Zea mays: one gene and its partner. The protein of the gene in region 1 binds, or shares a complex with, the protein of each later gene. Links are inferred from orthologs where the notes say so. Each region holds a gene or a part of one and is shown in the gene's direction. Other genes may lie near its edges.

Evidence for each region.
Region 2: General transcription and DNA repair factor IIH subunit TFB4-like (region 1) and REX1 DNA Repair family protein share a complex: the UniProt entries of both Arabidopsis thaliana proteins name them as parts of the 7-subunit TFIIH core complex. The link is inferred for Zea mays from reciprocal best matches to the Arabidopsis thaliana genes AT1G18340 and AT1G12400.

Annotation. Positions count from the first base shown.
Region 1 is NC_050099.1:247,477,334-247,481,836, reverse strand, and holds the start of General transcription and DNA repair factor IIH subunit TFB4-like, read left to right. Parts: upstream 1-1,534; 5' UTR 1,535-1,740; coding exon 1,741-1,771; intron 1,772-1,873; coding exon 1,874-1,962; intron 1,963-2,112; coding exon 2,113-2,383; intron 2,384-2,458; coding exon 2,459-2,514; intron 2,515-2,655; coding exon 2,656-2,693; intron 2,694-2,771; coding exon 2,772-2,817; intron 2,818-3,225; coding exon 3,226-3,279; intron 3,280-3,370; coding exon 3,371-3,439; intron 3,440-4,332; exon of another isoform or gene 4,333-4,503. UniProt on the Arabidopsis thaliana protein: Component of the general transcription and DNA repair factor IIH (TFIIH) core complex, which is involved in general and transcription-coupled nucleotide excision repair (NER) of damaged DNA and, when complexed to CAK, in RNA transcription by RNA polymerase II.
Region 2 is NC_050101.1:47,599,323-47,602,862, reverse strand, and holds REX1 DNA Repair family protein, read left to right. Parts: upstream 1-1,565; 5' UTR 1,566-1,751; intron 1,752-2,213; 5' UTR 2,214-2,243; coding exon 2,244-2,278; intron 2,279-2,380; coding exon 2,381-2,558; 3' UTR 2,559-2,797; downstream 2,798-3,540. UniProt on the Arabidopsis thaliana protein: Component of the general transcription and DNA repair factor IIH (TFIIH) core complex, which is involved in general and transcription-coupled nucleotide excision repair (NER) of damaged DNA and, when complexed to CAK, in RNA transcription by RNA polymerase II.

The DNA of each region.
Region 1 (4,503 bases):
CACTCCCACTACATTTGGGTTATGCATAACAGGTTGGCCCAAAGCCCACAATTCTAGTTATGACTCAGTCCTTCACAGCTCAACCTATCTATAGGCTCGGGCCGGCCTGAGATAATGCATGGACCGTGCCTGGGCCTCAACTTAAGCACACAGACCGGCCTGACACGACCCATTTAACTAAGGTACACTAAAGCCTACTAGCAATTCTATCCGTCCGATAGTATGGCGGCGCCGCCATCCAACGACCACTAGCCATTCGACCATTTCCCCACCATTTGGTGCATTTCCGGATTCCCCAAGGCCCAAACGCAAGTCACCAAAACGGCAAAACTAGACAACCCGCCGACCGCCGCAACCCTAAACCTAAAGTCCTAAACGGCTAAACGCTCAGTCGCTCACACGTAGAGATGGTAATGGATACCCGAAACCTGAATACTCGACGGGTTTTACCCGATATGAAGGCGGGTACGGGATGATTTCTCTACCCGCAGATATGTTAATGGGTAAAACCTCTACCCGTTGGGTAGACGGGTATGGGTACGAGTTGGTACTACCCGTACCCGTCTACCCATGGGTAAAATATGCCCGCATCAATACCACTATAACCATCTAATAGAGCTCATCCTAGCTAAAATAAAACTCTTCTTTTACTATCATTTGTCTAGATACCAAGTTATGTGATTATATGATTTGTTATATGTGAAGTTGATTTTTTTTGCATGTTTATTTAATATTTTGAGTGATTGGTATATTGAAATTTAAGACTTTCCTATCGGGTTCGGGTTGCGCGACGGGTAAAAATACCCGCGCGGGTACGTGTATGGGTAAGATTTTATACCCGCAAACATATATGGGTAATCCGACAGGTAGATTTTTTTTGATAGATACGGGTATGAAATGATACTATCGGACGGTTGGACTGGGCAAAAAGAATCGGAACCGAGGAACCGAAACCGAACTAACCGAACCGAGGAACCGTTATGAAATTTGGTTCTGTTTTTCTAAGAACCGAAATAAATGAGACATTTTCGGTTCTGCACTCCAAAGAACCGAAAAACTCAAAAGTATTAGATTCAATTTGTTACATGTGTTTGTAACTTCGGATGTTGTGTTATCAACTTATGTTGAACCTCTAATCATCCATGTATTATTTATGAAATTATGGTCATTGCGCACTTGTGGTTGTTTATGGGGAGATGTTGCTGAAATTTGTCACAAAAGTTGTCGTTATTCAGAATTTTAGAGTGACTGTTATAGTTCGGTTAGAACCGAGGAACCGAACTGAAGAACCGAGAACCAAATTAGTCGATTATAGTTTTTTTTATCTTACTATTTCGGTTCTAGTTTTTAAAGGACCGAATTTCTACAAGAACCGATGAACCGAACCGAATAACCGAACGCCCGGTCCTACCGGACGGGTATGCCCGTTGCCATCCCCACACGCCGCTCACACGCCGCCTCCCTCGTTCTCGCGCCGACGCTCGCCGCACCGCCTCCCTCTCCCTCGTTGTCGCGCCGCCTCCCTGTCCCTCGTTCTCGAGCCGCCACACCGCCTCCCCAGCCGGCCAGGTAACACACGGCGGCTCTTCCCTGCTGGGCTTCGGAGCTGCCAGTCTGCCACGCCGCCGCCCCAGCAGAGAGGCGAGCACCCCCGCCGGCGCCTCGGAGCTTTGAATTGGCTGGGCGCGCGACCGGCCTCTGCCGCCGGGCCGCGAGCAGCAGCAACCCCCCTCGCCGGCCATGACCTCCGCTCACTCCAAGCTCTACTCCGGTGAGCCACGCGCCACTCTTGCATCCCCGTACTCCGCGATGCCCTCATGGTCCTAACACACACGCGCTCAACCCATCTGGTGCCACCCGTCGGCGCGTGCAGATGACGTCAGCCTCGTCGTGGTCGTCGTCGACACGAACCCCTTCTTCTGGGCCGCCGCGGCGCTCCCCTTCGCCGACTTCTTCGCGCACGTATGCAACCCTAACCCTCCATTTGCTTCCCTGCGCCTGCTTCCTTGTTCGATCTTCACTGGCGATTTTGTGCGTTAGATGACTCGTTGGTAGCGGTGCCCTGATCCGTCCATTGGGCCTTGGCTTGATGTGATATCCATGCCCGTGCAGCTGATCCACTTCGTGAACTCCCTCCTGCTGCTGAACCACCTCAACCGTGTGGTCGTCATCGCGGCGGGAGTCAGCTCGTGTGCCTACATCCTGGATTCCAGCGATGCCAGCCCCTCCGGTGGTGTGGCCGTCTCGGACACCTTCGACAAGGCAAGCCGCAAGGCGGAGGAGTTCATTGCACAAGATGCGCGCGCCACTGCAGGCAACGGTTCCGTTGCTTCTGCCAATGCCGCGTCGCTGCTCTCTGGGGCGCTGTCCATCTCTTTGTGCTGTATCCAGTCGCTTGAATTCCTTGACTATTGCACATTCACCTATCTTATTTGTGCTCGTGTTGCTTAACATTGAGGTTATTTAGATATACAGAGGATTTTCCGGTCTGGGTCTCGGCATCCACAACCTCGGGTGAGTGTAGAGTTCTGAGTAATGTTTAATTTCATCATTTGTGATCAACAAATAATGCTTTGTTTGGCCCATAATTTGTTGTAGTCAGTATTCTCATACTTATTATAATGCCACGGCAGTTGATACTAACACGAGATACAGATTTTGTGCCTGCAGGGATCTCCAGACGGACCTGAACAGTATGCACGCATCGTCATCAATGCAGTTTCTAGTTTTTTTTCAGGACCTAGTTTTCACTTCATCAAATTTATGTGCAGATATGTGGCAGTGATGAATTCAATATTTTCTGCTCAACGTTCCATGGTATCACATCAATTGCTTAATCCATTTTAGTCCCATTGAGATTTATTGATCTTTTCGTTTCACCAGCCAGTCACTATGTTGTTACTTATTACTCCTTCTGTCCCAGTATATAAGGCGTAACCACCTCTGGCTCAAAGACCAAGAAATGTATTTAATTCTCTCTATACTTTTGCATCGATGTACGCATGTCTAGAGATAATACGCCTTGTATTATGGGACTAGAATAAAAAGTAGTTACACCTTATACACTAAGATAGAGTAAGTACTTAATATCCAAATTTGACACATGTAGTGGGTTCAGAAAGAGCAAGACATTGGAATGTGCCTATGTAGATATGCATCCATAATTGTTCCAAAACTTTAGCTACGGTGGCTTAATGACTGGCAACATTCTTACTAATCTCTTAGGTACCAATTGACTCTTGTATTGTGGGAACCCAGGATTCTGCTTTCTTGCAGCAGGTAATGCTCTTTAGTACTCATCAAATTCATCCACATGTTATACTGTCACAACATCCTCTTGCTGACTAGTTACCGATATTTCATTATGCAGGCTTCGTACATAACAGGAGGAGTTTATTTGAAGCCACAAGAACTAAATGGCCTGTTTCAATACCTTGCCGTAAGTTATCCAGGCTCCCTCTGCTGATATTAATATATCAGCTCATATAGTTCTATTTTTCCTTTTGGGGGCTTTTGAGAATGTATTTATATCCCTACTACTCTATAAGTCCTCATTGTAGGCGTCCACATGTGCGTCATGTTCTGCCTCTCGACGCCCGCCTGCCCGCGCGTCCCGCTCCTGCGCGCCCCCGCTCGTGATGCCCGTCCCGCCTCCCCGCTGTGGCAGCCGCCTTCGCGTCCACCGCGAGATCCCCGCCCTTCCCATGGAACCCCGCTCTGCACCCCTCCCAGAGCTCTGTCGTGTCATCCCCGCCCTGCCCCCCCTCGAAACCCCGTTCCCTCCGGCCCCGCCCTCGCCCTCCTCCCACTCCGACGCACTCGAGAAGCCGTTAGCCAACGCCGCCGCTTCCACCTCTGAGTCCTTCGTGGCGCTCAAGGCCCATTATCCCCCGCCTCCCCCTCCCGTGCCGCCTAGGTCTCGTTGGATAAGATGTCGATCCGGGGTCGATGAGCACTAGACCTTCTCCGATTCTCTAGCGACCCTCCCCCACAACCACGGTCTCGCGCGAGCTTGGTCGGCTTCGTCAGCGAAGCTAGGCAGCAGGCGTGGGCAGTCGGGCTGGTCCAGGGACGCCAGCTCGCATCTGTCGGTTTCCATCCGCAAAGGTAGCAGCAGACGTCGCCGTCGACTGTCGCGGGCACCGACGACCAACACCACCTTCCCTTCGGCCCAAGATCAGCATCTGTAAACGCCTTTGACCGTCTGTGCCTCGATCCAAGCTCAAACCACGGGCAAGCAAACACATCGCATCTCCAACCTCCTCGGTTCGGTCGGCTACCCCAGATCGACAGCTTTCAGGTGTGTGTTCCCCTATTTTTTTATTTTTTGGATGAACACTAATGGTTATGAGGTGAATAAAGTGGCGAATAAAGTACCCTGCTATGAGTTTGAGATAATTCAATGTTGTGTGAGAAAGAGCAAAACCTTGTCACACTTTGCCCACCTGAGCCAGCACGAAACCTTCTCCGGCAATCGGTAGGGTTCCAATGTCGCAGGATCCA
Region 2 (3,540 bases), on another chromosome or scaffold:
TTGTAGAAGGTATGCTTACCCCTTAATTTGTGATGGGATTGAAAATTAGAGTTTTTGTATGTCCAAAAACAATGTATATTTTGATTTATTTGAACACACAGTCGATGTCATTTCTGTTTGGCAATCCTAGGTAGAGATGGTAATGAAGTCCCGTTCCCCGCGGAGATATTACAAGACGGGGATAGTTACAATTTATTTCAATGAGGTATTAAAATGAGAAAGAATCATCTCCATCAGGTTTAGCGGGGACGAGTATGGTAGTCTCTTCTTCGTCCCTAATCCTCACGAGCCCATATAAACAGGCACTAAAGAATTCGGGCCATAGAATTAAGACTCAATGACCGACATATATAAAGTGACCAGCAAAGTGAGAAAACTAGCTTCTATTCTGTCATCGTCGCCGACTCGACTCTCTCGTTCGTCCTCCCAAATCCCAATCTCCCTCGAGCGGGCGGGCCAGGCAGCAGACCAGCTCTCCAGCGTGCTGGGTGCAGGGCTGCACCGCTACAAGCCGTGCAGCACACTGCACATCCCCTCAGGTTTGATTGTTTGAGACCGTCACAGTCATGTTCACCTGGAGGCTGGAGGCCGCTGGCCGCAGGTCTCTCACTCTCTTTGTCTCCTCAATTACTACTACCTAACACATCTTTGGTCACTTGTATTAGCAAATCTTGGGCAGCGGCACATCTGCACATGCCGTGCATTCATATAGCCACGTCCATGCTGCACGCACAAATTTTATTTTGTTTGATAATTACTTCCCCACCAAATGAGCTACGTTCTTGTCCAAAATTATAATAAATGCGCAAGTGATTTGCTGTGTGGTGGTGTGAAGCTCTGCGCGAAGTGATTTGTGTATTTTTTTCTCCTTTTTCATGAAATTTCGCAATTTAAGGTCATCTAATTTATTGGGTATGAGTACGACAGTTTAAGTATCAAATTTATGAATACCTAGTACCTAGTTAATCAGCAACCTTGCAGACCTAAAATATCCTAGATTTGTAGTAAGTTTTTCACCATCACCTTTTCAAAATTCTGTTACACAGTGTGGTTCCTCACTGAATTTTAAGTACTGTCATATGACAATTTGGTTCTGCTATTGCTGGACATAAATTTGTAATTCTCTGTTCACGCATTACACCGAACAACTACAGGGTACGGAGGGATTCAACGACAAACATAATAATCGCTTCTATTATTTTCGTAGGGGCAAGTAGGCCAGTCATCAACCGAGGTCAGCTGAGTCAGGAGAGGAGGAAGTGGCCCTCGGGTGTTCCATGATTCGTACGCAATTTTTTTTTTGGAAATTTAGATTCATACCATTAAAAGATCACCACTTTGGATCCATACCATTACTATCTCACTTATATATAGGTCCACATGAGTCAATGACATGTGTGATCCATGATATATATCTAAAGTTTGGATCTTTTAATGGTATAGATCTAATTGTTCTTTTTTTTTTTTGTGGACGGAAACTGCGGTGTCAAATTGCAAGAAATGGGTCGGACCGTGGGCTGTGAACATGGGTTTGGTGGGCGGGCGAAGAAGCCAGCGGGCCCAGCATCTTTATCGTCTGCCGCAAAGAGGGCTGAAGGAGAAGCGAGGAAAGGTGAGGCCGATAGATAGAGGAGCTGCGGCGCCGCCGGCGAGCGAAGAGTGGAGGATCCGATCCGAAGCGAGAGGACTGAATCCTGCGGCCGGGAGGGACGCGGGACCACGACGAGCGTCGTCGTCGGTGCCAAGCAACGGTGAGGCCGTCTCGGATCTGAACTTTTTTGTTTGGTTTTTTTCCCTCCCGTTCTGAATCGACATGGTGAGAGCAAGAGAGTTGGGAATTGGGACGGATCATGGAACTCCCCGAGGGCCACTTCTTCCTCCGACTCAGCTGACCTCGGTTGATGATTGGCCTACTTGCCGCTACGAAAATAATAGAAGCGATTATTATGTTTGTCGTTGAATCCCTCCGTGCCCTGTAGTTGTTCGGTGTAATGCGTGCACAGAGAATTACAAGATATCCGCTGAGATTATGCGCGCAAGAAAACGTGGAGCATCTTGCTGACCCTTTGTTCTGTCCTTCAACCAATCCTACAATCACTGCGACACCAGTCTATCACCTTCATGCGCGTCGTTTTCGTGCGAAAAGTTTGCAGTCCTGGTGCTGCTTCTTTGGTACTCCAACTGACGTTGTTTCTGTGTGGCGATGTAACCAGGCAGTTGTCCCTGTCCAGAGCACAGGCAAGATGGTTAACGCGATCAAGGGGCTGTTCATCTCCTGGTAAGCTCTCCTGACGCAGCTGAAAATGAATCCCTCGTTTGCATTTCTCCCTCTCTCCCTGCCTTTACATGGTTGCCGTCCGTCCGTCCCTCTATTTTTCAGCGACGTACCTATGGCACAGTTCATCGTCAACCTGAACGCGTCGATGCCGCCGTCGGAGAGGTTCATCGTGCACATGCTCGACCCTACCAACATGTTCGTGCAGCCTCACGTGGCGCACATGATCAGGAGCAAGATCGGGGAGTTCAGGGACCAGAACAGCTACGAGAAGCCGCAGTAGTGGAGGATCTACCGCGTCCTACACTCCTTCCTTGGGACTTGCTTTCGTTGCCTGTATTATTTCTGCTGTGAGCTGAGCACCTCAGCGGAAACGAGTACGCCAAATAGATCCCACCTGTGGCCTTGAAATCATACTGCTATGTGCTATAAACGTGCAGAGGGCACTGCTACTGTGCTGCACTTGTGGTATTCTGGGATTCTTTTTGTCAGGTCCTTAAAATCCGTTGAGAATTTGAGATCCAGATGGGGCTTAGACCCCGTTTCAATCTCACGGAATAAACTTTAGCTTCCTGCTAAACTTTAGCTATATGAATTGAAGTGCTAAAGTTTAGTTTCAATTACCACCATTAACTCTTCTGTTTAGATTATAAATGGCTAAAAGTAGCTAAAAAAAGCTGCTAAAGTTTATCTCGCGAGATTGGAACAGGGCCATAGTCACGTATATCTGTGCCTTTATTTGTATGTATCTTTGTCTTGCTATGGACAACAAAACTACGGTGGCACACTAACAGGTAGTTTGGAAATCCAAATCCTCTAGAGATCCCTATATTTTCCCTCGGTGAGTAATCCTAGGAACATTATCTGCATAAGGGCTTGCTTGAGAGCAATGATATTCAAAATTGAATAACATGAGAATTTTAGACTCTTATAAGCCCTTCTAGTATTCTTGCTCTCAAACAAACCCTAGGATTAGGGCTGGAAACGAGCCGAGCGGTGCAGCTCGGTGGCCGACCGAGCTCGGTTCGGCTCGTCTGTTTCACGAGCTGGAGAAACAGGCTCGGTTCAAAGGCGGCTCGCGAGCCATACCCTGATATTATATAATTTCATTATATAGTGAATTATTAGTATATAAATATGAAATATATAGATATCATTCATTATTATGAGTAATCTAAATTATTGTTTTTATATATCTATCATAAAACGCTAAGTAACTTACAATCTATAAAATTAGCTAATATCCATCATTATATCATTATTCT